2 linked regions of the Styela clava genome follow. The protein of the gene in region 2 interacts with the protein of the main gene of each other region in a pairwise test. Links are inferred from orthologs where the notes say so. Each region holds a gene or a part of one and is shown on either strand. Other genes may lie near its edges.

The links.
Region 1: the proteins of uncharacterized protein LOC120339853 (region 2) and merlin-like interact in binary tests that used the Drosophila melanogaster proteins (3 or more experiments, as listed by UniProt). The link is inferred for Styela clava from reciprocal best matches to the Drosophila melanogaster genes wts and Mer.

Annotation. Positions count from the first base shown.
Region 1 is NC_135252.1:22,930,558-22,946,619, forward strand, and holds the start of merlin-like, read right to left. Parts: upstream 7,009-16,062; 5' UTR 6,877-7,008; coding exon 6,800-6,876; intron 6,264-6,799; coding exon 6,128-6,263; intron 5,412-6,127; coding exon 5,280-5,411; intron 4,493-5,279; coding exon 4,409-4,492; intron 3,718-4,408; coding exon 3,593-3,717; intron 3,082-3,592; coding exon 2,979-3,081; intron 2,646-2,978; coding exon 2,361-2,645; intron 1,807-2,360; coding exon 1,693-1,806; intron 774-1,692; coding exon 697-773; intron 313-696; coding exon 267-312; intron 1-266. Other genes in the region: NADH-cytochrome b5 reductase 3-like, read left to right, coding at 8,612-8,629, 9,999-10,162, 10,567-10,726, 11,101-11,289, 12,096-12,206, 14,229-14,328. UniProt on the Drosophila melanogaster protein: Regulator of the Hippo/SWH (Sav/Wts/Hpo) signaling pathway, a signaling pathway that plays a pivotal role in organ size control and tumor suppression by restricting proliferation and promoting apoptosis.
Region 2 is NC_135250.1:10,607,016-10,622,832, forward strand, and holds the start of uncharacterized protein LOC120339853, read right to left. Parts: upstream 7,496-15,817; 5' UTR 7,378-7,495; coding exon 7,142-7,377; intron 6,693-7,141; coding exon 6,524-6,692; intron 4,976-6,523; coding exon 4,807-4,975; intron 4,677-4,806; coding exon 4,317-4,676; intron 3,782-4,316; coding exon 3,667-3,781; intron 3,177-3,666; coding exon 2,956-3,176; intron 2,574-2,955; coding exon 2,412-2,573; intron 2,070-2,411; coding exon 1,991-2,069; intron 1,435-1,990; coding exon 1,284-1,434; intron 227-1,283; coding exon 97-226; intron 1-96. UniProt on the Drosophila melanogaster protein: Negative regulator of Yorkie (Yki) in the Hippo/SWH (Sav/Wts/Hpo) signaling pathway that plays a pivotal role in organ size control and tumor suppression by restricting proliferation and promoting apoptosis.

The sequences.
Region 1 (16,062 bases), on a different chromosome or scaffold from region 2:
ATAAGTTTATTCAGATTTTCCTTATTTTAGTTCTATTACGAGTTCGGAGACTGTCTGTGTTGGTCAAGTGAATATATCCCTGCCCATATAGGTTTCAGTCCCTTTACACAACTTGATGTAAAGTAGGCGAACACAATTAGTGACCTCCATATTGGTACACACACTTCTGGAGCAACATTAATTGTTCCCAAATTTATTGTTGAATTCAACATCTTTTGAAAATATATATATATATATTTAGTGCAATTCTGTGTGATGATTCTTACCAAAGCATCTAGGGCAGCTTTACTCTCATCTTGCATTTCTTTCAGCCTTCGAATGAAAAAAAAACGTTTTAAAAAATGCGATATTTTTGATTTTGCTTAAAACAAGGGTCTGGATAAGACTTCACCATACTAGGCTATTTATATGGTTGATTGTTATTAGATAGTTAATGGACATTATTTTTTAGACAGATGGTTAAAAACGGTGGGGCGCGCCCCACATTAAGGTGTAGAAGTTCATTTAAAGGGGTGAAGACACCCCCTCACGAGACGAGCAGTTCACAACAATTCTTGCTACAGCATCCTTGCATTATACTCATACGAATCCACTAGCGCAATAACATTGAGGAAAAATTGGGAGTTGGTCTCGCATACCCTCTACTGATAGTTACATCTAGCTAATGATTTCAATTTCTGAAAATGTAAAACTAACTTTCGTTCCAATTCTTCCTTCTCCATGAGTATTTTCTCCCGTTCATCTTTTTCCCTGAGAAGTCTCGCTCTTTCCATCTAGAAAATAAAAGCACCAGAAATGTGAGATCAGTGGTTTCCAACCTTTAATGGTGCGTGCCCCCCTGTTTATAACTCCAGCGGTATTCATTGTGTTATTTTGATTGGTGGATTCCAAATCCCATTATGTTAAAACAATTCAAATTCTAAAATGTTATACCTTAACATCTAGTCATCTGAAATTTTAAATCTTGAACTTAATAATAAGGGGGGAGTTGACTTTGATGACCGCCCGGTCGTATCACTCCCGCCTGTTTATATCAAACTAAATCATCATGTGTTATTATATTTAATTACTACGATAATTGTTCTTTTATTTTGGTTGACCAAAAATAAAATCTCTCTCTCTAAGGGTAACTCAATTCATTTTCCAACTCAAATATACCTAATCTCTCACACTAATAGGATACAATTATCCAATAATAAAAATAATGAGACAATTAAACTTGTGGTGGGATTTAAGTAATTAAGCATTCCTAATGATTGCAATTAGGACGGATTAGCTATAGCAGCCTCTACTAAACTCTCAAGAGAAACATGTGATTCTTAAGCACAAGAATTATTTTACTTGTGTGAAGTGATTATGAGTGCTCTAAACTAGGCACTTCACAAGATGCAACTAATATGTAAGAATGGAATATTTCAACATTGCCCTATTTATTACACCTTGGGTGGTTGGAATAGGATTTGTACCCCAAGATTTTACCCTGCAGTTCCACCACGGTCAAGTCTAATGCCTAAACCAGGAATGTACAACCTTTCATACAAGAGGGCCAGATACAAAGAACTAAATGAACACCATTTAAAACTGGCGCTTCTCCTCAAAGTATACAATTTCGCCTTGTGGGACAAAGGTTGGATACCCCTGGCATAAACCCCTAAGCTTGGTTTGAATAAACCTGTATTAGAAAAAACTGACCTGTTTTCTTGCTTTTTCTTCTTGTGCCTGGCTCTTCATCTGTTGAATCTCCATGCTGTCAACTTTACGTCTCTGCATGAAAAGATCATGGTTTCCTCTGCAGAGTTCTAAGATCTTGAAATGTAAAAAGAAGTACCGGTAAATGACTTTTTGTATAGAAAGAATGTTTAAAAATGAATCAAATATCCGAATGCATAAAATTAGACTTCTGATCAGAGGTTTACTTAAGTTTCTGTTGACTATACTAGAATAATCCACATTTTTATATTACAGTAGAACCTCCAGAAATATGCGCACCAATATGGCGCACAACCTGAACATAGTATGTGTGTATCGGGTTGGATTTAGGTTGTGCGACATCTTGGTGTGCATACTTCTGGAGCACCAATTTTTTTTAGGGGTCGGACGACATCGTTGACCTTGTAGTCTTGCCGGCCCCCCTGATTTTATTTCATGATTGCTTTTTGTATCCATTGTAATCTGTACATTTTTGATATACTTGAAAATAAATTAGTATCTCTCTCTCTCGCATTCAAAATGATTTATAATCGGCTCGCCGTTGTGGCGAATCATGCTAAGCGTTAGAAATAGGCTCGCCACCGCACCTCTGATCACCCTGCACGTTTTTTTTTCCTCGCAATAAAATTACTGGAACACATGCAACTCACCAATTTATTTATCCCCGGTTCATCAGTGAAAAAAATGAAATCATTTTTGTTCATATCGATCATATCAGCGGGTGATGACTCTTCTGCACTGGTAGACTGCGTTCGACGAAGCGTTGCGGAACGAGAAGATGGATTCTGTTTTATTGTGAACTTATTATCGTTAAATAACATGTCCGATAACTCGCTCCATTGAAACGATACGATTGGGTGCAGTTGGTTTTCTTTTTCGTATACTGATACGGATACAGCATTTATTCCAAGCCATAGTGATGTTCCTTTGCGATTCTAAAAAAATATATATTTTCTTTGTTATGTTTCATATAAATTTCATTAGAGAAAATGCATGGATAAAGCGGCCACCAGGAATGTCCAAAACGAATTTATTATTCAAATATCGTTTTTAGTGTTTATAAGAAAATCGGGCATCGTGCACACATCTCAGTGTATATTTTGAGATCTCGGTGGCACGGCAATAAATTCATGAGCAGTTTGCGCTGTAATTAATCGTATTCATCCTCCAGTAGCGTTTTTTGCAATTTAGAGCGTATAAAATAGTTTTCAAATATTAATCAGCATCTATCACAGATTTTGTCGTTACTGTAAAATAAGAAATCCAACCTTTATACTAAAATATGAAACTCCACACATCTCAAGATCTTGTGCTATCTTCAAATATTCTAGTTCAGCTTCATCTCGTGTCAAACCTCTATGTTCTGTGTACCTGTGATTAGGAGATAACTAGTTCGGACATCGATAATGGGGGTTGGAAATAAAGTTTTGCTAATCTGAACTTCCGTAGTAATTTTTTTAATAAGGCATTTTACTTCTGTCCATGGGAATTAGGAATAATCATACACATACACGTTTTATTATGACTAAAAATAAAAACTACATTTTTTTTTCGAACATACCAGCTTCATACTCAGGGGAATAGCCAGGGTTTGTTTTGAGGTTCGAAGTATGTCATGAAATATAAATTACAAGCGATACAATTACAATATATAAAATTTCTTTTTTACCTAGCCACAGTTAAACAAAATGAATAAATCTTCTAAAATTAACATTGAGAGGAGAAAAGTGTAACTGGCGATATCAAACATTCCATCGTGTTATAATAGTTTATGTACAATTTTGTATCATGCTATGTGTTGCAAGCTCGAAATGAGAACGGAGTGGAGGCAATTGCACCCACAATAAATTCAAAACAAAAAAATTTGAAGTTAAAAACTTACCATGAAGTTATTTTCTCCTCCCACATCGTCTCAGACATTTGAAATTGGTCAATGACACGTTTTGGTAATAATTCCTGAATCTCAACGAATCCTGGTGCATGGATTTCAGGATCATAATCACCATACTGTATTGAAAAAAGTCAATCATGTACTATTTGAATATCCATTTTGGGCATTCCTAAGTCAAATGACTCAAACCCTGTATGGCATGACATATTGAATTCATCAAACATTAATTACTTCTAGTACACTGTGGAAGTGGAAACAAAGACTTGGAAATTTTGATACAAGCTATTGACTGTCTTGAATTTGAAACCAAATTATGAGATACTATTCTGTTATCTGATATTTTTCTTGGTTTCGGTTAGGTTAGGTTAAGTTATTGTCTCATCTCTCTCTGAAAGGTTTGCAGAGAGATGGGACTTTCTCAAAGTGCTGCAAACGAAGCCCGAGGTTCCGTGAGACTTTTGGCTAACTTTAATAACTATCCAAAGAAGCAAAAACGGCATCAATAAAATTTGACAACTGTAGCGTTGAAATTTGGCAAGAAGGCGGATGTTCAAATATGACTTTATTCATAAGTTTCTCAAAAACATGATTCAAAGAATAACAATGTATTTTTTGTTTGTGTTTATTTTAATAAATATATTGTGGGCTCCATAAATAAGAGTCAACCTCTTCATGGGCTCAGTGAAATCGAAAATTTGAGAAATCCTGATCTAAACCAACTTATCCTATCCTATGCCAAATTGAGAATAAATGTTCACCGATGCAACAAAATACAAAATCTATCAATATATCAATGAAAACACGCACCTTTGCTTGAACAGCGAACGAGGCAAGCAGTACAGATGCCTCTGGAGGGCAGTAAAGATCTTCAGACAATATTAAATGCTGAATCTGTAAATATAGTCCAACATTAGAAAAATAAATTAGGAAGGGAATGCTGAACGGGGAAGTATCTAAACAGAGTGGTAAACTGGATACACTACGATATTAGTTATGTTAAAATATTTATGAATATGGAATATCTAGAACCAACCATCTAGCACAGCCACACAAAAAAAATAGTTTTTCGATATACACAAGAAATTAAAAAATTCTCACAATGAAAAGTCTTAGCTTAGCTCGCTCAGCCTTATAGTATTAATAGATTAATAAATGGACAATTGATAATACTAATTAGTTAATTAATACTAAACTATAGTCATAATTAATTAAATAAAAAGCTAAAAAAGAAGTTGGAGATGAATTTTTATCAACAAAGAACCAAGAGATAAAGCCAAAATGATTTTTTTTACATGGCAGTGAATTTTGAGTCAGAGTCGAGTGCAAATGTTCTACAATCAAGTGAAACAATATAGCATTAAGCAATAGAACCATGATTAGAGCAAAACAAAAGAGCTATGCTCAAATATATGGACATGTAGCCACACATAGTGGCAAATTCGGATGACATCATAGCACACAAAAAATGAATTCCATGCAGCTCACCGGTATATTTGAAATAAATGGAAGTACCGAAATAGCTTTCTGGCAAAAAAATCAATCTACAACCACTGGAAATTTCAAAGCAATTGGTCCAGTATCCGAAGAGAAGTGATTTTTTATTGAGGAAAAAAACAAATAAGAATAACAACAAAACACTAACACGATCCATAGGTCTTATCCAATAACACTATATTACCTGCAGAAAGAACAGGTGTCTCGTGACCTCTTGTATAAGTTCATCTTCCATTGACTCAGGATAAAACTTCGCGAGAAACTTCAACTCAAGTTTGTCGCCGTTCACTGGTTTTGGAATTGCATGATTCAGAAGCTGAATATAAAGAATGGATTAGTAAACGAATGACGAACAAATAGTAAACAATGATTGGTAATAATATCCCTCATGAGAATGTTAAGAAAATAAATCTCTGAAAATCTCTCGTCCATGGACTATCGTTCGATTACCATTCCATATGGAGTATGGCAATTTTTCATAACTAGTTATTTGTTATCGATACATGGACTTATTTTTATTCGGTTTTTGCCCAGTGAATACTCAACAATTGAGGCAATTTTTCAAAGTGGATTTTGGCACAGAAGACATCATTTTAAAGTTAGCTGCAATCCAATAAAACCAAAAATAGATCTGTATGAAAATAAACACTTTACGTCTTTACCTATCAAATTTCATCTGTGTGAATTTATATAAATAATAATAATTTATATGTTCTCTCATTGTGAAAATTTCTATGGTGGTTTAGGAATAAGTCAATGCTGTCACTTCAAAGTGAATTGTAAGTACTCCCCAAGTATGTGCCCAGATGGCAGACACTGAAACGTAGTGTGTGTACCAGGTTAGGGTTAGACAATAAGTTTATTTCAACGAGTTCGGGGAATAGCCAAGTGACTCCTGTGGTATTTGTACCTGAAATTATATCCTAACCCTAAACCTGGTACACATACTACGTTCCGGTTTACATACTTCGGGAGTATTGAATTGTAGCTCTTCCTCAACAATCTCGATAAAAAAAGAAAGCTTCTTGTCACCTTTTTGTCAAGTTTTATCCATGTAAACCTCTTCTTGACATCATGAAATGCGAGACCAAAATACCAAGTTTCTCTCAGACCGATTGTCCGACATATCAAATCAAATACAACTTGAGCTTTCACTTGATTTGAGACCCTAAAAGAATATATTTCAATAGGATTGAGATAAGTTCAGATATTCAATGGTAATAAAATAAGTCGAAATTGTTACAAACTTTACAACTTACTCAAAAAGTTCAAATTTACTAAGCAATCTTAGCATTCAAAGTTTGCAAAATAAAACAGCTGACAATAATGATCTTATGATGAAATAAAGTGTTCTCATATTTTATTAAAAAATGTCCGCATCATTTAAAATGAAGCAGCAAAATGACTCATAAGTTTGAAAAAAATATAAATTTCATTAAGGTTCTAACGGCTACCATCTTTAAGTTTTGAATATTTGGAATCGCTTGGTTCGTTAGTTGTCCAGTAAAGTCGAATTTTCCAACACCAACAATTTAACCAAATGATTGATAGGGTGAATAATTAGTAAAATAATATTGTGGGACCCCAAGAAGTATGCGCACCAAGATGGCGCACAACCTGAACATAGTATGTGTGTACTGGTTAGGTCAGGTTGTGCGACATCTTGGTGTGCATACTTCTGGAGTACCATATTGTGCTTCTTACGTAAATTCTAAATCCGCATCCAAAGTGGATACTCTGATGTTGATGCTTTTCTTTTTCTTGAAGAGTGGGAACGGCATCTCTTATAAATGATGTTAGTGACATCAATTCAGGAATAATTGTGAAGCGATTATCAAGAAGCCATATTATTTAAACTAAAATTAACAAATGTTATTTTCACAGACTCTGAAAAAATGGTGGAAATACTGGAATAGAGACTTATACAGAGATCTATCAAATAGAACACCAACATAGTTTAGATTCAACTGTTAGACCACAGAGCTACTGGAGTTGAAGCGATCAAAGTAAAATGAAAAAAATAGGAATAGGAAAAAAAATAGACTTACTGACCTGGTTCGGTCAACATCCTGCAGTTTTAACTTCAATCTGTCAGCACAGCAGTAACCTGCTATGTCTTATCAACCTCAGAATTGTATTATAGTATTATCATGGGTTCATGTCAACTATCATAAATAGGATGGCTTACCCACTTTGCGGCCACGACCTATTTGCGGCCATCAAACTAACGAACCATGACGATATTCCTCACGCGCTTTCGTCCACTTGTCCCTCGTAGCTCTGGGAAATTACACTAAAATGCATCCACAAACAAAAAAGTTACGATCGAAAACCCGCCCGAAGAAAAAAAAACGAACCCTTTTTTCATATCGCCAACTACCGGTACCCATTGTTCCTTCAAAAAGCTTGAAAATCTATACAAATTTAAAAGATAAAAAGATGAAACTTGGCAGGTCAGCAGGTGGGTAGAGTTGTGTTTCTTTTAACCATCTTTAAAGTTTTGCGTTCCAACATTTAAAGGAGGGGGAATAGGGGGTGCACATTTCAAATACGTCGATAATATCTTTGTCGACCAATTTGCGATCACCGTGTTATTGTCTGTTTGATTGCTGTGATACCGGTACCGTACCGGTACGGCACTTTATTTATATTTTGACGAGTGGTGTTCTTAAAATATATGACGGTCAGAAATGCAATTAGGCTATATGTTTAACTTTATAGAATATATTCAGACATTACACATTTCTTAATTAAAAAAAAGACAGTTAAAAAGGAAACTTACTGAAAGTTGCTGAAATACCGGTAGCCTACCGGTAGTAATTCTCTATCTATCTAGCCTTTGAATTATTACAATATTGTCTCATTATCAGCGAAACTAAAACACAAGACGACGGCAAGTGTGAAAGTTTGTTTATGGACACAGTACAGCAGTAGGCCTACAGGTCAGCAAGTTCATCACCTGATCAATGTCAGACAACATCTTATCTAGCTATCATTCAATACGATATGATTTGAAACAAATCACAAAATTAAAAAATTATATCTCTAAAATTCAAAACTTATCAGCAGGCTAAAAACCATAACGACGTGAAAACAAACGCAAAAGAGTCAAGACAGCAAGAGGAAACCTGAAAATTTCCAGAAATAAAATAAATCGCTGATATACTTGAGTAACTTTCAGACGAGATTGACCCGACCTGAACTCGTGACCTTCGAACCTATCATAACTTTTGCACAACTATCATTCTTCAACGACTTTATCCATTTTCTTCACACAATTACTCGTACCGGTATTAAATTCATTGTGCAATAACTAAAAGAGTGGCTAATATTAAAGATTGATATCTTATCTATTTATTTTATTAGAAAGTGACGCAACGCACTGCAATTTGAAATTTTGACTCGATAACTTCGTTGGTGTTTGCATTGCAGCGGTTCTTGTATTTGCTTGATGCGAACGTGACCTACCGTACTGAGTGTTCGTTTTTTTTCGACACATCTAATCAGGATTGCCGTATGAAGCCTTCTCCAACAGTGAGCGATATATCTATTACATTTTAAATGGCTGGTACCGGTATACCGTAGACTTTTGCCAGTTAATTGATTAAGCAAGATAAATAGGGAAATGGTTTCTTTCTTTTCAGTTTTGCATTCGGAAATTAGATCATATTAAAAAGATTTGTATCTGCAATTATCGTTCTGATATGCAGTTTTTGCAATTCTGTATTTGTGAATGTGAGGCCCTTTCATAAATCCTTTTGCTGTTTTGATTATTCCATGTCCTGATGTCTGAAAATTACACCAAAATTCAAAGTAGATATTCTTCCTGTAAGACAATAAAATCTTCTTAGTGGGGGAATTCCTCCCCAGTTAGAATAACCTGGCTTTAAAAATATAGAAATGAACCTATTTACCAACCATCTATGTCAGTGAATACCAATCTTTTTCATTAAATTCCTCCTTTCACCTATTTTTAATGTTTTTTTTCCTTCCTAGTTACTCATAAAAACTAAACATAAAAACCCTGCCTCTGCTGCTCTGTGTTATGCTCAAGTCGCACTCATACTTTCATACAGTTTTGGTAGTAGAATAAGTAAGCGATATCAATTATGATATTAATAAAGAAATGAAGAATATTAGTAGTAATACTAGGACAGCAAATTCTAAGCAAAATTTAGGATAGGATAGGATTTACATATTTATCCCGGGGGAGAGGAAAGCCGATAAGACGGCTCATCCATATGGCGAACCACGGCCTCTCGTCCGGTTACCATTCCAAGTCGAGTATGGGATTAGTTTTACTGTATTGTTTGTTTTCGGAAGCATGGACTTGGTGGTGGAGGAAGCCGTAACCGACCAGCGGTTACGTGAACCACCCAACGACGGCGAGGAGTCCAGCAATCCTCTCGCACATAACCATCCCTGCATGGGATTCGAACCTGCGAACCCACGCAGAGTGATTAGAGGTGCGGTGGCGAGCGTATTCCTAACGCTTAGCCTGTTGAGCCACACCGCCGCGCCGAGCCGATTTCTGCCCAAGAATGGCGTGGCGGTGTGGCTCATCGTGCTAAGCGTTAGGAATACGCTCGCCACGCACTTCTGATTACTCTGCATGGGTTCGCAGGTTCGAATCCCATGTGGGGATGGTCATGTGCGAGAGGATTTCTGAACTCCTCACCGCCGTAGGGTGGTTTACGTAACCGCTGGTCGGTTACGCCTGCATCCGCCATCAAGTCCATGCTTCTGAAAACAAATAACTAACTAATCCCATACCCGACATGGAATGGTAACCGGATGAGAGGCCGTGGTTTGCGATATGGTTAAACTGTCTTATCGGCTCCCTCGGGATAAAGATGTAAATCCCTTCCTGATTGGGTAACTTTGATCTATGTTCTTTATTCAGATGAGTCTTCTAGGATTCTCAGTTGTGGGGATTTCAGTTGTTTGTGCTGTTGCATACTTCATTTGGCAGCGAAAGAAAAATCAACCAAAGATAACACTTCTGGATCCTGATGTCAAATATCCACTTAGATTGGCTGATAAAGAAATTGTTTCTCATGATACAAGGTATTCACATGACGAAAAAGACATTTGACTAACAAATATTGTTAATTTTAAGCTTCTATTTGTGCTGAAATAGGTTCTGATACAGAATATATTCTTAATTCGTCTTTGTAATCAGGTGCATAGCCAGGAAGTATCATACATCATAAGGGGGAGGGATGTGAGATTTATACTTGCCAAGTCAGACCGTATCTGCTAGCCGGTCAGGAGGGATATTCTGGGTTTTAAGGGTTTTCAAGCTATGAAATAAGGCTCTGCATGATACAGAAGAAAAATGCTTTGAAAATCTTTTTTTTTTTCATTTTAAAAGATTGGCTTTGACCCTCAACCCCTCCCCCCTCTGGCTAAGAACCTGACACCCTTTCTTGCATGATCTCGAAATAACAAAATCCATTCGCTTTCCACAGGCGTTTCGTGTTCACTTTACCATCATCAGAGCATATCCTTGGTCTACCTATCGGACAGCATATCTACTTATCAGCTGTTATCAATGGAAAATTGATAATTAGGCCATACACCCCGGTGACATCTGATAAAGATAAGGGACACATGGATCTTGTTGTCAAGGTAATGTTAATTGTAATTTTATTACTTTACTGCAATAAGGTAACATCGATGATATGGAGATTGGAGACTCAATCCTGTCACGAACCATACTGTTGTGTCATTAACTCGGAGAATAGACGATGTTTGTAGACAAGGCTGAAAATCAACATGAAACAATGGGAGCCACAATACAGTATTCCACATGAGACCTCTCATCTGGTTACCAGTTAGTGTCGAGTATCGCATGGGAATATAATATAAAACAGTTATAGTGCCCACTGACAATAATTTTGCTCAGAAATTTAGAGCCTTCTTACTTCCGAATTAGTGCCAATAACCTTGCTCTGAGCTCATTCTCTCTATAATAAATTTTTTTTAAATTTTTTCTGATATAGGTTTATTTCAAAGATGTTCACCCCAAGTTCCCAGAAGGAGGAAAAATGTCTCAATATTTGGAAAGTCTCCGCATCGGGGATACAATTGATGTTCGAGGGCCAAATGGGCTTCTTATTTATGAAAAACCTGGTTTGTTTTCCATCAAACCTGATAAAAAGTCGGAGCCAATGAAAAAAAGTGTCCGAAAAGTAAGATTCTGATTTACTTGCACTGTTTAAATGCTGGCATTTCATAACTGGTTCAGGTTCTATTAAACAAACCGTCAAGAAAATCTCATTTTGGTAGTTTCCTAGGTTTTTATCAACTATTATACTGAAAATAAAACAAGTCACTAGATATCACAACTAGCATGAGGTATGCTCAAGGACGTGGCAAACTCTTCTGCTACCTGGGCGAACTTCTGGTAATGATGCTCCTTATACCTAACTTCAAAATAATTCGGGTGATAAACAAATTATAGATGTTGTTATACATAAGAATGAATAAATTAAGGGTTAAGTAAGAGTGAAATGTTTGTATTATTGTTAATTAAATCATCAAACTAAGCAACAGACTCACATGTACAATTTGCTGCCGGGGCAGCTAGCCCTATGAGTATGACCCCCTTCAGACGCACCCAAGGGTACGCTAGCTAGATAACATAAATCATACTCTCTCATGTGATTGACTAATATCATCTTCAGATTGCTTACTTCAAACCTGGATGACCTTGCCAACCAAACTGTTGTCCCTTCTAATGTCTTTGCACAATCTGGACCATTATTCATTATGAGGGACTCCTTACCTAATATTTTTTGCGCAGGTTCTTGGACAAAGGAAAACTTGTGCACTTTCCCCCGATGTTAGATTGAGCATTGAAATGAATCTTCCTATGTTTCTGTCCCGGGGAAGATTTTAGTTTATTAAACTTTATTTTCACTTTGTGGTTATGGTGCTATGTAGGTCACATTGGATGTGAAACTTCAAGTCTTATTTTTTGTCAATTATCTTCTAGATTGGAATGATAGCAGGAGGAACCGGGATTACTCCAATGTTACAGATCGTACATCAAAGTCTGACAGATCCTGATGATTCCTGCTTGCTATGGTTGCTGTTTGCTAATCAGGTAGGCTTATGCAATTTTTGTGCAACATCCATGCATTCTAAACGGTGACAGCACATTTGAACTCACGTAAATTTGAACCCATACATTTGCATTCGTATATCCGCGGGTTCAATCTATATGAGGGTGCTAAAATCCATAAGTTAGGGTTAGTATGGGTTCGAATATCCGTAAAATCAAAAAAATTTCCATAGGTGCAATAGTATACAGGTGCAATTGTTGTGAGTTCAAATTACGGGTTCAAATGTACGTGGGTTCAAATGTAATGGAACCATCTCGAACAAGTAAATGGTGAACTATTTTTTTACTTATCGATTTTAATCGCTAAGTATGTTGATAGGTATTTGTCTGTCTGTATGTATGTCTGTTTGTCTGTTAGATGCACGCGATATCTCACGAAAGCGAGATTGAATCTGCTCCAGATTTTGCATGTGCATTCATCTTATCTCGGACCAGAGGCCTATTGATTTTGGGCGAATTATGTCGTATAATTAGCGAGTTATCAATCAATTATTGATATAGTGATCTAGATTTTTGTAAAGCGAGAGAATTTTGAGACCCGCCGAGTGTGTGTGTGTGTGCGATGCGCAGTGCGCAAGTTACAAGAGCGGATGAATCGAAACTGCAGTTTCTGTTTTGGGGGATCCCCTAACTATCGATCGATAAGTCTTCGGTTTCCAACCGATATTCTCGTTATACAGTTGGTAACTGGACAAAGGGTCTTGCTTACTATTTGATGAATCTGACCTATAGAGGTTGAGACTCTGACAGCAAAGAAAGACAAAGTCTGGTCATCTCGGTCAGGAACTTGGCCACGGGGGTCGCGAAACCCCTGCCTTCCACACACACACTTTTTGAATGTAAAAAAGAGCATTTTTTGTAGCTTAAAACGCTTTTTATACCCTTAAGACCCTTAGAAACCTACATTTTCTGGCCTTCGATCAGACCCGCTGACTGTTATTACTTATCGATCTTAAGATCGGTAAGTATGTTGATAGGTATTTGTCTGTTAGATGAACGCGATATCTCACAAAGGCGAAGTAGAAAGGTGCACTATGGAGTAAGAGCGCTGTTTTGGGGGATCCCCTAACTTTCGATCGATAAGTCTTCGGTCTCTGACCGATATTCTCGTTACTTGTCTGTTAGATGAACCCAATATCTCACGAAAGCGAGATTGAATCTGCTCCAGATTTTGCTTGTGCATTCATCATATGTCGTACCAGAAGCCTATTGATTTTGGATGAATTATGTTGTATAATTAGCGAGTTATTAATTAATTAGTGATGGGACACAAGGTGTCACTATGGAGTAAGAGCGCTGTTTTGGGGGATCCCCTAACTTTCGATCGATAAGTCTTCGGTCTCTGACCGATATTCTCGTTACTTGTCTGTTTGTTTGTCTGTTAGATGAACGCGATATCTCACGAAGGCGAGGTTGAATCTGCTCCAAATTTTGCATTTGCATTCCTCATATCTCGGACTAGAAGCCTATTAATTTTGAATGAATTATGTCGTATAATTAGCGACTTTTTAACTAATTAGTGATGGGACACACGGTGTCACTATAGAGTCATGAATAAAAACTGCAGTAACTATGCATTATTGGACACGTCAGTGGACATAACGATCGTTTTGCATTTTATGCTGGCACTCTTCTTGTTCGTTGACATGTTTTTAAAAAGTCGCTTTTCTCTTTAATTACTGGACCAATCGCTTTAAAATTTTCAGTGCTCAAAGATCAAATTTTTCGCTAGAAGGCAATTACTTTTATTTATTTCAAATATTCCGGTGTGCCATGACGTAATCCGAATTTGCCACATGTCCATATATTTGAGCATAGCTCTCTTGTTATATTAGGTTTTGGTTATCTTTATCCCTGTCACCAGAACATTTGCGATTGAGACGCATACCCAATTCTAAGTTATCCTCTTGTTAAATTAGGTTTTGGTTATCCTTATCCCTGTAATCATAACATTTGCAATTGAAACGAATACCCAATTCTAAGTTATCACATTCATTTTTTCAGACTGAGAAAGATATTCTAGTCAGAGAAGAATTGGAAGAGTTTGTGGCGTCTTATCCTGATCGATTCAAATTATGGTACACGTTGGACAAACCAAAAGATGGTAGGTTACAAATATAGGATCTTATTTGCTACAAGCATTAAGCCAAAAATTCTAAGTAACTCATTGATGATAAGGCAAAATTCACTCACAGTAATGGAATGGAGGTGGACTATTCAGAATATCAAAAGTATTTGAATTCAAAACATTTGGATGATAGGATTTGGTTTGAACCTTTTTTGATTGAATTCCCTATTTTACTCCCACAGGCTCGCGGCCCACCAATGCTAAGATTCCCTTTAATTTGATTACTGTCATTTCTTATGAAGAACACAAACATGGTAAAACAGCGTGTCATGGCCTTGTGCAGTGGTTTCCAATCGGGGGCCTGTGGAGCCGTTGAATGGGGGCCACAAGCAGGGTTGTCCAAAACGAATCGAATATTCGAATGTATTCGAATATCAAAGTATTCGAATACCTTTTTGGCTGATTTTCGAATAATTCGAATAGTAGACACTTTTCGCCGTAAACGTGGTGTTTCGTTTTACGGGAATCTTCAAACGACTTTTTACGCTGTCTTACGTATTGTAATGACGATGAAATAGAATCGGCACTTTGATTGTTTATATTCTGTGCGACCTTACGTCGCATAGCGTTGCGACACATTTGCACGTTTGCGTGGGTGGACATTGGCGAAATGTGTCTACTAGGCTTCTAATTTACAAATTCATTTCCATTACGTCGAAAAATTGACAATTACCATATTTCCCGGCTAATAAGTTGCTTTTCTAGGCCATTGAGATAAAGCGATTTGTGACCCTTTCGTTTTGCCGATTCAGCAGAACACGACAGGAAAACACAGCTGTGAAATAACCAGTGGACGTACAGTGTATTACTTATCACATTTCAAAATTATTTCAACATTCGGGTTAATAGGTTGTCCAAAATGATTGTCGCTTTACAACTTAAATTTATTAGATTCGAATATTTTGCGCAGCACAAAATCATCTTAGTAAATAGTTCAATACCTTTAAATACAAACCAATGGCAACCGTTATCCAAATCAGTTCCCAAGAGCGGGATAAAGTATAAATTCTTTTTCCGACTTGTGACAATTTTTCGTGAGTACAAAATAAGAATCAAAAACTAATTATATTCGGCACAATATCACGGCAATCTGTGGACATAAATTGTGTGGCAAACTCGCGATTAATATTAATTTTGGATTCCTATTTTCGTATTTTCCAAAATACAACGGTGATCTGTGGAATGTGTGTAAACTACCCCATTATAAATAGTTTTTGATTCCTATTCTCATATTTATAAAATAATAAAAGTATTATTACTCAAACATACAACGGCGATCTTCGGACCTAAAATGTGTGGTAAAGTTCCCGGATATAATTAATTTTTGATTCGTATTTTTGTACTCACGAAAAAATTGTCACAAGTCGGAAAAATAACTCATACTTTATCCCGCTTTTTGGCAAATAATTTGGATAATGGTTGGTATTTAAAAGTATGGGCGTTTTACTAGGATGATTTTGTGTTGCGCAAATATTCAAATCCATCCTCGATACCACTATTGCCGTATTAATTCTGTTAACATGACTCATGGAATATAAAATATATACTAATAATCAATAATCTGCAAATATGAAATGGCTGGTAATATAGCTAGGTTGTAACTTGTAGATAGCAGTTATTCCATTGCTTATTGTATGGAAATTCCTACATACATTTAGATAAGCTTCAATTAATGGATTTCATTTTCGAAGTATTCGAAATTTCATATTC
Region 2 (15,817 bases):
TATGGATGTAAATTGTAATTACATTACACAGAAATAAATTTATATAAATACATTGATTACGTTCACAATTCAAAAACTAAAAAAAAAAATCCTTACTCTCACAATTCATAGGTACTTCGGCTGTCATAGGTTGCAACTTCATGACAGGCTGACTTGAGATAGGTCGTAATATAGGCGGACTGGCAAGCGTTTGGTATTGAGCATGACACGGTTCTCCACCCACCATCTGCAAAGAAAAAAAAACAGAAATTAAAAAGGAATTTACTCAATTTAAAAAACAACTTTGGAAATATATATATTGTCTGGATCAGGGCTATCTAACTGGAGGTCCCAATAGGGGTCGCGGTACCCATTATTGTCAGAACGAGCCATACTTACTCTTCTGCCTTTTGCCTCCACTGTGTATAAAATCTTTTTGACACTAACTTATGTAAAACAAAATATTGATCAAATTTGAAAAGATTTGGAACTAGTACTGAGACCCAAAACCGAGACAGTGCCAAGAGACGTTCTTTTGTGCAAGAATATGCCAGCTCACATTGGTTCTAAAGGGTTGCGAAAAAATTTTTGCAGTGCCAAGTGGGACATGATGAGAAAAGTTTGAAGAACACTGGTTAAGATTATACTAATATTCGACATAAATTAATCTGAGAGATTCGATTTTTGATCTTATTGACTCAAATTCATCCAAAAAGAGGTGTGCCAATATCATATCTCTGAACTTAAGATACATGGAAATAGGCCCTATCCAGGTAATAGGGCTATCCATAGTGTGATTGTAGTATTCTTTTCGAAACACACTATTATTATAAATATTATAATAATTATGGAACACGACTGGTATCGTAAAAATATATATGATAGGCCTATATCAGTATTATACATAACAAGGGTGCACACAATGAATCAAATATTCAAATCAATATATACTCGATAACTTGAATTCTATATTCCAGGGATAATTCACAAACATTTCATTTAAAAATTTTCATTTTGAGCACATAAAGTTCCCCAATATGACTAAAAATGCCTGCATTAAATTTATGGAAATTGTGAAAAAAAAGGGAAATCAATCAAATTATTGTTCATTCAAGGTTTCTGCATTTTTAAATTCTAACTCATTGAATAAATTCAAAATAATCGATTAATAATTGTACGATTGTATTACATTTAAATTTGATTGTTACAATAGTAGATATTTTGATATTGGTTGTCCCGAAAATTGAACTACCAACCAAAATTAATAAAAAACTCGTTCGTGTAGGTAAAGAGCAATTTCAAACCTGGTATCCCGATGATATGGAAGACTGAGGACTGGATGAATGACCGGATGTCTGTTGTTGATACGTAGAGTAATTGATATTTCCCATCAAAGCTCCATTTATTTGATTTGTCCATTGTTGGTGCTGGTCTTGATAAGGTGACGGACTTCCCCTGTTTTTGTAGGTTTAAAAACGTTTTAGTTTTTAGCGTTTTGTTGCTATTTGTCTAATTATAATTAAATTAGAAGTTCATTAAACGAGTATTTGTCAATTTTATACTTGTTAGATTATAATATAGTTTAGTCTACATGTGTCTCACAATAAATTCTGTTACGTTACAGACGTTACAGCTGTTGTGTTACTATAATTCAGTGAAGCGTCGCGGGCCGGAGGTTGCCGACCCCTGTTTTAAGTGTTCTCTCTACATATAGGTGGAATTCCGTATTTACAGTAAAATCACGATTTGTATTGCATATGGTAATGGCACATATAATGATTTTTCAGCTTAATAGAGCAAAAAGAAATTATTTCGAGCAGAAAATACCAGAAATTGGGATTAAATCAACCATACTGAGAAAGAAATTCTCCGGTTAAAAAACTTCAAGTAAAGAGTTAGTGGAATTCAAAGTAGTCTGAGTTAGCCCATAATCTGGAGTGAAACCTCATCGCTCAAATTCCTCATCACAACTTTAAATTAAAAGTTTAAACAAATAACATAATAAACATACCTATTTGTTGGATTAATATTCAACATCTGGTTTTGTGCTTGTTGAGATTTAGACAATTCTGGATACCTTGATGAATTATCTGAAAAATAAAAATAAAATTATAAAAACAATGTTTGTCCAAAGTTCTCAACTATTACACATTACAAATTTCTATAAATTCACAATGATTTCTTCAAATTTTCCATATTATAAAAAATGATAATATAGATTTTGGAGATTGGAGGAATGAATATTCTGTATAAAAATAAGAAATATAAAATATCTGCAAACCAAATATATTGCATGACAAATGTTAATTGTTTGGCTTGATAATAACTCTGGGAGAGACAATTTCGAGTATAAACATATTATGAAATGTTATGATAAAGAATGCATTTTTGGAATCGGGACATATTTGGGAGCAAAAATACAGTAGATTTACCAGAGTGTGTATAAGTTGGTTGGTCAAGCTCCTTCTGTTTGTTACGAAATTGCTGCGCTACTGTATAGCTGGGTGGTGGGTGATTCGGGGTGTATCGTGCCATGGCTGGGTTTACCCCAGATCCAGCTGATGATTGATACATATTGGAGGCAGATGAGGGTCCTGAAAAACAGAAGAAAGATAGTGGTTTCAATAAGATCAATTATTTTAATAAAAAACAACATGCGCAGGAATGTCGTTCGAATTATGTTGAATTATAATTCCACATTAGCGTTGAATGAAATGTGCTTTGAAAACTTAGAAAACTTCATGCACTACTAATACATATTAACAAAAAATTGACTTCACTCTTAATTTACTACCAGATCATAATCTATGTCAAATCAAAGTCTTATCTTTATGCAAAAAAGCATCCCAAAACTGGTGTTACTACATCTTTACCTGTAAAGTAATTGGCTAGAATGAATTATGGACTACAGTACACCTATGTAAAATCTAAGCAAAAACTTACTAATAAAACCCAAATTTTATTTTATTTACAAACCTTTGATAATGGGTTTATGGTTGTCTCTCATAACACTTGTCGAAGACATTTGCGGCACATTTTGTGGCTGGCGATTTGGATTCTGTCTTGTTGTTGGAGGCCGCATAAAATTCATTGCCTCCTGACTCGGAGTAGAAGGTGACATTCGCTGAACGATTTGTTGTACATGTCCAGGAACAATTCCTGCATTCACTGGAGGATTGGGATTGTTTGGGATAGCCCTGAAAAAAAAACCCAGAAAATTCTTCAGAAAGACCACAAGAAGACTGATTGACAAATAGAGGGCTTTAACCATGAGGGGCAAACCTGAAAATGCTCTTTTGATAAAATGACAAAAACAAACATTTTTATTTTTGAATTCCTGTAACTTTTTTTTATAGTTTAGCAGTGTTTAGCAAACTATTATTAGATACTAGCTTGAAAAACACCTATTTATTTGTGAAAATTTCGAATGAAAATTTTCCCCCAAATTTCAATATTCTCCATTTTATCTTATAACCGACAAAAAGCTCTCGTGCAACCTTACATTCAAACAATATGCCCTTATCTGATTTAAAATAAAAACTATGCAAGTTTGCTGGAGAAAACCTCCAAAAAATCACCCAGTGATCTTAGTTATTATAGATAAACTCCTTATTATGGTTGTCAAATACCATTACATATATGATAGGGTGGACTAATTGAGGTAATCGAGTCACTATGACAACTAACCTGTTGTCATATGACATCGGAGGAGGTGTTTGTCCACGACGATACTGAACATCCGATGTGTTAGTTGGATTCGTCATGAGATGATTTGGGCGTGGAAGTGAATTCATGCCCATGTCTATAAATAAAGAGAAATTTATTTGAGACTTTAGCAACCTCTTACAACGGAGTTGATGCAACAGAAAAACATTTTCTGCTATTTGGGAGTAAAATTTCACGAATAGCCATTCTGCTTGAAAACATATCTATATAGGATATGAAAATCAAAATTCAATGCAAATCATAACTATCCGAATTCAAAATTATTCGGCCATGGATTTCGCAATTTTTCAAATTTCTAAGTATTATTGCCACTGGCATTGCTGCTATTTGCAATGTCTTTAGATTGATGATGAAAGTAAGAACACATTTTGTTAAAACATTTCCAGTTTTCAATTGCACTGCATATATACCTTATCAAATAATAAGATTCAAAAACAGAATAAATTTTAATTTAGATGATTTTTATTTGGACGTAGGACAAATTGACGTGGAATAAAAAGCAGTCTCAGATCAAAACAACCAATATCCACTTTTTAATCCCAATAATTTTTGTTCACAATTTGTATTTCAACCTTAATTTTGGAATCTGGTAACAATTCTGACATAATTACCATAACCATTATCACTCGCGGAACTTTGACGTGAATATGGAGAATTGATGTAAGTTGCTGGATTCCCAGGATAAGCAGGCGGCTCTGTGGCAGGTGTCCTGTCTGGTAGTGGCACATACTTCCTATGCAATTGTTTTGTTGGATCCAACTGATTCTTACTCGACAATAATTCATACTCAGAAGCAGTGATTTTATGGCGCAAGTTGTTCACTTGGCTAATTTTGCTTTGAAGTCCATTGTGGCCATGAACTCCGACCGGACTGTCTGCTCTGAGGCTAGCTCCATCTGGACTGCCACGATGCGTTCGACTGTACGGATCGCGCTGCAAATGCATGTTCGGCTGAGGCACGTGGTAGTCACCTAAAACAAATAAGTTATGATTATAAACAATTTTACAAACATTTAAATTTTATGAATTAATATTACACTAGAATTATAAAAAGTTGAATAAAAGGGGAAAAATATTTTGAATGAAAATTCCATTTCTTACTTGTATTGTAATCTGTCTGATACATAGGTGGAGGAATTCCAGTATTGTTATTATTATTGGTGGGATGAAGGAATTGTTCATTTTGCATTTTACGACGCAATATCAGAATCAGTTTTTCTCTGGCAACCTCAAGTGTTGTGCAGTTTTTCGCCACATTTTCAGCAACAGACTGTAAAAAGTAAATATTCTTCAATGCCAAGCAGCGTTAAATAGAGATATCCTTTATTTAATCTTGCAACATATATGAAAATAATAACACAAAGCATGATCTATCTAATTCCTAATTGCATTTTTTGTATCCTACGGTAATTTTTTTACAACCAATCAGATAGTTTGTAAACTTAGTCAATAATTGGCCTTCAATTCAATACTTCAAAATGACTGATAATTGCTGCTTTTTGTGCAATCAATATTTGTGAAAAATTGTGTACCATATATAGATGATCACAAATAATAATATTATCCAGATTTTAAATTCTGAATAAAAAAAATTATATTTATATAAAAATAAAAGATATTTTATAGGTTTGCCCCAAAATCAGTCAATTATAATGAAAAATAATTTTTCCAATCATAAAACAATAAACTATATGCAACCTAAATACTATTTCAAACTCCAATACTGTATTTTTAATTATCTGTATTACACAAATTAATCACATTTAATAATACAGAATATAAGTATCGATAATGGAATCTAGGAATGTTGCAGAGGCCAAATTTTTATAGATAAATGCACAACACAAAGCTCAATTTATTCAAGTTCCAACATAATAATGATTTACGATACCAGTTTATTGAGATTGTGAAGAGCCACAGACAAAAAATTTTACTACATGCTTTTATAGAGGTCTGCTGGCAGATTGTGTAAACAATGGGGTGACATTCCACACATACTTTTGTAATTACTATCTTTATTTTATTTATCTACTGCCTGAAACCAGTCCAATCCTCACTTACAATTATTCAAGAATGGCCAAAGATTGAACATAGTTATGAGACACAATTATATAAGGCCCATATGATATTTATAGATAAAAATTGTGGTATTTCTTTTGTTTGCAGTTGGCTATATATTCTTTTATTTCAAAAATCACATCAACATTTTTTTGCATTAGCAGGGATGTAAAAATAAGGTGTTTGTGTTGATACTGGTGTAATGTTATATACATAATGAAAGATTATATAAAAAGAGTACACCATGGCAGAAGTTGGAAACTATAGGGATGCCTATATCAAAATAATAATCTATTGTTCAATATCATATCTTTATTATACAATTTATTTGTTCATATTTCTTAATATAAAATTGATAATAAATTGTGGATAGAAGTTGGATGAACAAAATATTGAAAGCCTTTTTTAACACAAAAAATCAATTGTAATTTTTCATTTTAAATGCATTTTCCAACCAACAATATATAGATAATGAATATGGAAGATTAATACTAAATACAGTACTCATTATCACACAAATGACTTCTTTCAAATCAATCAGTAATCACAATAGAAAAATATATATTTTGCCGACATAAGGTACAACTCAATAAAAAAGCTGAATTACACTGGCAGTCGGCAGCCTGTTGCATCGAAATATTAATATTTTTCCACAAAACCAATGCATTACTGTGCCTAATTGACAACATGTGTCCAATTTAAAGGCCTCATGAAAATATTATAAATTACATATATATAAATTATATTATAAAGTACTGACCTGATCAACATTTACATTCAATTCCAAAGCCAAATTCTGGACAGATTCTGCGCTGATATCTGAAGGACCGTAAGGAGCAAGACTATCTTTGATTTCCCGAAGAGCACGGGCATGATGGCTTCTATCCTCTTTTCGAGTGGTGACTACTCCTCCTCCAGCACCTCTATTTCTAAATAACATAATATTTTACAGAAAAACTAATATGCTGATCTAATGCTAATGACAAACAACTTATGTCCAGCCACCAGTAACTGGTATAATAACTGATGATAAAATAATTAATTCTTCTTTGTTGCTGAAACTTGTGTTATTTATTAATTAAGAGCATTGCTTTTTCTACAATTCAGACAAAGGAAAAATTATGTTTGATTTTTTTAAATTTAAATATGATTTAGGTTAATGACATGAAAAAATCATGATGAAAATAAATTGTTTAGCAGAGTTAAACTATGCAAACAAAGTATATGAAATGACAGAATTAAAAATAGGTAAAATAAACTTCTGAACACAAACACACAAAATTGTGCGAAGATTCAGCAGCAGATGAGGCAGGAAAATAAGGATTGCAAATTTATCATAAAATAAATCTTACAAATATAAAAGAAAAATTTAATTTACCGGCTGGATTTAACTGAAGCTATCGCATTATCAGAGGCTTCGGAATCCGTTAAACTTGGTCTTTTTCCTTTTCTTCCCTCTTTCTCAACTCCTTGTACTTTTAGTTTTCCAAAACTTTTTGACAAGTCTTTGAACGATACTGAACTTAAATTATTATTTGGAAATGAAGCTGGACGATTCGCTTTACTCCTTCCAGAGCCATCGCTCCCAGAGTAGTTCCCTTGTCTAGACGTCATATCCTAATATGGGTGTTGATATGAAGATTCTTCTATAGGATTTCAAGGCATTTTTACACGTCAATTGCATACTCATTACATTATATCAAACATTTGTTAATTCAATATGTATAACTACATAAAATGAAGTGATATAAAAATAATTTTTTTATGGAACGTTACAGCAATAACTAGTTTAAAGTAAAAAGTCAGGTGTATATATCATAGGCTACTCAGCCAGGCAACTGAAAAAGTGGCTTTTATCGGAACAGACTGTGACTCTAAAGGGGTCTTGCAATAGAGTAGGTACTTCTGAGGGTAGGTAGACATTTGTAAAAAAAAGTAAGATGGTAGACTTTACCATTCTATGAGATCTTAAATTGAGAAAATGATTTCTTTTATGAAAGTTCATGGAAACATTCATACAACAAAATGATTTTGCCTAAATCTACATGTATGATCAATTCCTATATATCCCTATCCAATATTAATAGCACATTAATGGTGGAAGTGAAACAAAAATTATAATTAGTGAAAAGAAACATCAAACATGCTACAGCACCGGAGATAATCATTCACGACAGACTTCAAATTAATTCTGTAATGTACCGTAAATTCTGTGAGGCGAATGATTGCAGAACTCCTTGCTGTCATACATCTGCTTTAACAACCCTTGTTACAACCTGCTTTGCATATTGTAATACATTTATGACTTCTGTCAACATAGCATTCAATATAGATTTTAAAGTACTATATACCGTACTTTATCTTATAATAGAATAAGTAATTGATAATGACCCATATAAGTTGATAGGAACTGAATTTATTGAGAATGTCTTCATGCGATTGCGATTAAGTTAGCAAGTGTGATCGCATACCAAAGTGACACCGTTGTAAATTGTAATCATTCAACCTGTGTTATTCATATGCATGCTCTGTATTTTGAAATACATCAAGACGTTGACAGTAAAATTGACAATTCAGTTTCCAGAATTGCTAATAACTTGTCATTTTATTATTAAACTGCTGTAGTCAATTTAATAGGATATCTTCATACAAGTATAATTTCCTATGCCAGGAAACGTTGAGTGCTCTTAATTATGTATGATCATTTCTACAAAATCTAATAAATTTGAAATTGATTCGAGCGCTTCAAATTGAATAATATAATATACAGTAATCAATGTTATTTATGGATTGTTTTACAGGGAAACTTGAGGAGGACTCGCACTAAATTTCTCACTGTTTATAGTAGTCTAAATGCTAAAAAAAATGCGAATTGCTTTGTCCACATATTTCTAATCTGTTGATGAAATAAGGGAAAATAATATTAAACGCATACTACTAATTTCAACAGAAAATATTCATATACCGATATACAGCATTGATATAACCACACTATAATAGCCATTATCATGAAAATATGAAATCGCTTGAAACTCTTGTAGACTATGATTTATAATATACTAAAGTTAAACAAGAGATAGGGCTCATGTGAAATATATATATGCACTTATGCATGTGCATTATTTTGTATATTTTTTTAATTGATATTAAAATTCATATTAGTACCTAGATTTCGTCCCGCGGACTTTTCTGACAACTTATGGAAGAATGGTTTGAGGTATTAAACTGTAAAAGTAGGTAACTTCCAATGCCTTGCAACTCCAGATGAAATTTTCAATTATTTATATCTTGATTAAATTACGCCATGTTATGCTTCTTACAGTTTCAATAGTAAGTCCTTTAATAGGCTATGTACGGCCCAATTTATTTTTTAACAAAAAAAATCACGTTTAGTCAAAAAATGACAAATCGTTTTCAAGCGCCTCAAATCGTGAATTCTACCCACGCTATAGTCGTCCAAATACCGCCATTCGATAGAGGGGGACATCAATGCAAATGAAAAATTAACTGTGAGAGACATCAGTATACATAAAAGTATTTTTCGTATACGTTGTACTTGTCACAGTCACAGTATCGCATTGGGGTGCTGGAACTTTAGCGTAGATTTGAAAATAACAAATTTCTTTTGGTTTGATTGGATCAAAATCGGTTGAATATAAACATGAATAGTTTTCTGTGGATCTTAAATTCAGGGCGTCAAATGTTAAAAATGAAAATTCACGAAAAACGTTCTCGTTCGATTTGACAATTTCAAACTCCTCCACCCATTTAGGATGGAGGCATAGTTCAAATAGAAAAATTGTGGGAGCCATAGTCTGTTGTATCAAAATAATACCGAGTAGATATAAATAACATAACCAGCAATAAATAAAGTAATTTAGAGTAATTAATGCACGACTGTCTAAATCGATCTAATTGATGATGCGATCGACCACACACATGCTAGATAATATTCGGTCTTACTACTTACTGAATACAGCGCGAAACACCGCAAAGAGCGCAAAACAGCGCGAAACAGCGCAAAACAGCGCGAAACAGCGCAAAACAGAGGGAAACAGTGTGGAAACAGCGCAAAACAGCGCGAAAGAGCGCAAAACAGAGGGAAACAGTGTGAAGCAGAAAAAAATTTTGCAGTGAGTTCGGGGCACCTTGTTTTGAGTTTGAGTACCACGGCAGCAAATTAAAAACACAAACCAACGTATGTAGCCAGTAATGCTGTAATGGCAGGTCTGCCCCTGCTGGTGACACATTTTGGGTACCATAATTTAGAACATTTTCCACATGGATATGGTTGGCTTTAGGGTTAGGGTTAGATAAAAAGGGACCTCCAGAAGTATGTGCACCAAGATGGCGCACAACCTGAAAATAGTATATGTGTGTGTGTGTGTGTGTAGCGGATTCAGGTTGTGCGACATATTGCTGCACATACTTCTGGAGCACCAAAAAGGTAGATAAAATTTCGCATGATGACCTATAATCCGGTACATAACCTTGTAAATATGCCGGAAATAGCGCCATAAAACCATGGCGAGAGGCGCCGTGGTTCTTTCGTGGCAGGAGGTGGTAATGACTGCGTCTCCTGTTTTGCGCTGTTTCCCTCTGTTTTGCGCTGGTTTCCTTCTGTTTCGCGCTGGTTTCCTCTGTTTTGCGCTGTTTCGCGCTCTTTTGCGCTGTTTCGCGCTCTTTTGCGCTGTTTCGCGCTCTTTGCGGTGTTTCGCGCTGTATTCAGTAAGTAGTAAGACCCGATAATATTCATCTGGCGAATATATACAATGTTAAGTGTATAAGCGCTATCAGAACAATAACGTCCAGATGTTAATAATCTTTGTATTATAAGTGATATGACAAATTATTCCTCGTGTTTTAGACTAAATTTTGATCAACTTTTACATGATTTTGTTATTTTCCCCTATTAGGTGATGAAAAACTATGATCGGTAAAATAGACGATCAAAAGTTATAAGACAGCGTTTAGTAAATAACGGAAACAACTTGAAACGACCGCGCCGTAAATCTTACGATTGTCCTCATCGACTCCACATGGGTTGAACATCTGCCATTTACGCAACGATGTGAAGTGCGTTGGTCCTTATTGTAGTCAGGTGGTGATTAAATATCTGTAAATCTACGGTATGTGTAAGTTATATAACTTATACCTATTTTCAAACAACTACCAATGCGACTGAAAGTCAAAGGATAGGATTTACATATTTATCCCGGGGGAGAGGAAAGGCGAACCATATGGCGAACCACGGCCTGTCGTCCGGTTTCCACTCCAAGTCGGGTATGGGATTAGTTATATTGTTTGTTTTCGGAAGCATGGACTTGGTACTGGTACCGGTCTGCCGGTAGTGGAGGAAGCCGTAACCGACCAGCGGTTACGTGAACCACCCAACGACGGCGAGGAGTCCAGCAATCCTCTCGCACATAACCATCCCTGCATGGGATTCGAACCTGCGAACCCACGCAGAGGAATTAGAGGTGCGGTGGCGAGCGTATTCCTAACGCTTAGCCCGTTGAGCCACACCGCCGCGCCGGTGAACCATTTCTGCATTTTGTGCTACCCTACCTACAGACCTAGTGATCGGAAAATTTCGAGGGGCAATATATCTGTAAACCCCTCCATTTGCCCTAACACTGTCCGACTAAACCAATATCAGGCAAACTGTGACGTCTGGACGTTGTGTCAGTCTGTCAGTTACGGTAGCGCATTACCAGTACAGCAGTAAGTAAGGGTACCGGTACGGTTACCCTAGGTCAGTACGGTAGGTCGTGGGGTCCATATCTTATCGTCCGTAAAGTAGAAACGCTTATTGTTGAAACCTATCAAACTCTACACCAAAAGTGCATCACTTTTCCCAGTTTATTCGTCCAAAAAATGTAAGACTAACGATAAGCCTGAATGAAAGGCAGCCCAATACACCAGCGAAGCTCCGCCATTTTTCACATACCATCGCAGTGTATCCACTTTCGGCCCTACTAAAAACAAAGCAGAATGTCTCTGGAATGTGACCGAAAACTTTAAATATTTTGAAAAGCGGACATACGCAAAAATCCGTTAATTATATCATACATTATACAAAATGAATGATTTATGCCATAATACTTAGAAAATCAGGTTAATGGTTAATACGATAAAATGGTTAATACGATAAGGCGTCATATCATGTCAACAGTGGTTTTAGCAACGCATGATCAACGTGCTGCTGCACAGGATTGCCATATTGACTTTTTTAACGCCAAATTTAACAACTCTGGCTTTTCAAAACACGTTTGGCGTCAGAATTTCCGATTGGCTTTTTATGACTATTCTAGTGTCTATTGTTAAAATCTTACGAATTACAAGATTTAGTGTGCAACAATAAGCCATTCCCTCGTTTCTATAGTTTTGCGTGTCAGTTTTTAGCTACCGGTATGTTTCCAGAATATAGTTGTAGATTGAATAACTTAATTGTCATAATGTCTTTCGAGTAGCTTTAGTTTGGTTACAGTAATCAAAATTTAGTCTCACGAGCGCTGCGGTAGACTAGACTAAAATTTGCTATTGGTACGACAGTACTTGTAAGTGGCACGTGGTTGGATATTTTTTTTCTTCTTAAAAATGATGGTTTAAAAATGTAAACCAGTTTATAATCGGAAACACTGCAAAACGATCTCAAATTGAGCATTCATTAAGCAACTTTTTTCAATAGTAATCCATAGGGAGAATGTTTTGAGGTATATCCTAAGTTTAAGTAGAAATATACAGGTATATCACATACTAATGCGGCACCGTACATTGTATAGAATGAATTATGAAATATTACTGTCTGCCCTAAATTTCTTTTTATTTGGTCTTTTGATTTTTATAAACATTTTATATAGACGTCAGCTTCTCTGCATTGTGTCGGGTGTACATTCTAGTTCTATCGTTCAATAATTACTGCTTAGTTTCAATAAACCCTCCACCATGCCGAAGTGAAATCATCATACGATAGCAACCGAAAATACAACTTTTGATGGGAAAAGACATTTGTGAGACTGACTAAATCAGGGATCACCAACGCGTTGCCCGCGGGCACCAAGTCGCCCGCGAAGACTATGGGAGTCGCCCGCAGGTCCGTTCCAAACTAAGATTAATAACGGCACTTATGAGGAAGCTACATCAATTAAATTTTGTCCCGCTATTCTTGTATTAATCACACTTATATGGAAACTGGGAATGTCACTATATTAATTATTGTAACCATCAACCTGACTCATCATTTTCACGATGAATGGGAGGTGGATATATTTTTATCACCATGAAAACAGCCTGCGTGTGTCTCATTTGTGGGGAGATTGTAGCGACGGCAAAGCGAAGAGATATTTTACATCTTGTCACGCAATTTACCGCGCTAACTATCCACTGGTCAGCGCAGTACGGGCAGCAAAGCTCGCGATTCCAATCATACAGCAATTATATTTTACGAGGCCATTGTTTGGTTCAACCTATCTTTGTGAATCAACATTTTTGACATAAACTCAGGATAGGATGGGATTTACATATTTATCCCAGGGGAGAAGATAGCCGATAAGACGGCTTAACCATGTGGCGAGCCGCGGCCTCTCGTCTGGTTACCATTCCATGTCGGGTATGGGATTAGTTAGTTATTTGTTTTCGGAAGCATGGACTTGGTGGCAAAGGAAGCCGTAACCGACCAGCGGTTACGTGAACTACCCAACGGCGGCGAGGAGTAGAACAATCCTCTCGCAAATAAATATCTCTGCATGGAATTCTAACGTGTGAACCTAACGCTTAGCACGGTGGGCCACACCGCCGCGACTCACTCCACCAGGAACAAATACGGAACACGCTCCACTAAGGAAAATCTGCAAGACTTGTCAGAGTTACAGTGTCAAGTTACACGCCGGAGTACAACACTCTGCAATATTTGATAGTACAACTCAATTTTGAAATGCAAGTGTCATTGATAGAAAATTATTTGCTACGTTGTGATAATTGTTTGATTTTCTGAAGAATTCACTAATCCTATCAGTGACTCTACTTGACTAAATACCAGTAATTATCAATATGAAGCTTAATCGAGCAAACTGACTTTTTTAGAAGTGTACATTGAATTGGTAGCCCGCAGCTTAATCTGTAACCAGAAAGTAGGCCTCGGCCTCGAAAAGGTTGGTGACCCCTGGACTAAATCAACTGATGGGTCTAAATCAGCATAGTGTAAACCAGTGGTTCTCAAACTTTTTTAGTCCCAGAGCCGCATTTCAAACCTCAAAGTTATGAAGAGCCGCACACAAACAACGCAAGGTAAAATAGCAACAAACCTTAAGCGCGTATTTAAAATACCAAGTCATCGTAACAACAACACACGTAACAACTGGGGATGGGCAAAATATTCGAATAATAAAATATTCGAATGGCATTTTACCATTTGAATATCCGGTACCGCGTGACCTGCGGCGCTCTGCTTGGACACCTAACTCGCGCGTCTCTAACTCAACCGTGAATTGTGTGAGATTTCCCAACGGCGCTCGCTATCAGAAAAAAACGTCAAATTTGAAAAGTCGTTGTCTTTGCGTTATGGTGTCATATGCCTATGGTTGCACTTAACGTATCGTTTCAATTCCATATTTTGCAAAAAAATGTACCGACGTTCCGTAAATTTAGAAACGTCGAACCAGATTAGGTATTTAAAATAAATTTCCCAGATTTTAAACTCCGCATGATTGGTGACATGTCTTTAGCCATTTCTTGCATTACCGAACATAAAGTTAATTAAAATTAAATGTTAAAATGACTTTCCGGCGTTTCATTGTGAAAAAGGCGATTTTAGGTCGTTAGAAAACTCTAGTTATATAAATAGCATGGATTTAAAAATGACAAAAAGTTTTTTCAAAAGCTGGTATGAGTTACTTGTGTGAGGAACACTCATGAAGTTGTAACCAGATAAGAAATGTCATGCCCTACTCCCTTTAAAGCACTTTGTATTAGCTATTTAGTGATCCCTTCCATCCTTGGCCAAGTAATGTTTCGAATATGTAAACATTTTACTCGACCATGAATGGCCGTTGAGCCAAGAGTAGAACGTAAAATCAATCGTGAATTTCGTTGTAATAATGCACACTGACTCGTTTACGAATTGTTGCGTCTATTATCATCGAAAATGATTACAATTGTTAAATTTTGAAGCATTTGGGCAGTAATAATTAAGGAATGACACAATCGAAATCATTAAGGAAGTCGCTATTTTAAATCAACATTCAGGGTTCACGCAATCGTAAATTTGCTAGGTTTATCTATCTAATACTAAAATAACACGAACACCATGGAAAAGCATGAGAAACTCAAGTATCATTTCAATAAATATCTGCATCTCGGTTATCGTTCACTTTAAACAGGCACGGTTAATTTACAAGCGGTGAATTGGAAGACCAAATCCAAGGCAGAGGATTAAACTTAGAATAAAATTGATTTGGTTTTGAAATTATCCTTTAATGTATTCAACAGCTGTCTCTGATGTGAACGCAAGGGTATACTAGAAATATGAAAACTTCGATATTCGGCGACCGCTTATTTCTGCGAAAAACGAGGACGGGCGGGAATATAGAATACCAACTTTAGGATATCGCCACCGAAACGATCGCGGTGACAAAGGCAATCAGCGATTATGATGAAATTAACCATCAACCAGTAAAAACAAAACGCTTTATTGCCGAATTTTCAATGTTTCTATCAATTTCCAAATAGAGTATCGACCTCCAACGTTCTGGATTTTTGTTATGTATAAAAAAAAATTATTCATTATTCGAATATTCGGTAAAAATATTCAAATTATTTGCTTCGAAAAAAGATTCGATTTTGCCCACCCTAGACTAACAGCCATTTAACTTGGCTTTGATTCCTAATAAGTTTGTCAAAGCGGGTCGTAATCGTGAAGGATGCAAGGTGCAATAGCTGCTTGAGATGATTGCCAGATATTTCGGGACTATTTTCGATTACTGGAACAGAATTAAAATGCTCTAGAAATTAAAATAATCATTGAGTTATTTGATTTATACATAATATTCGAAAA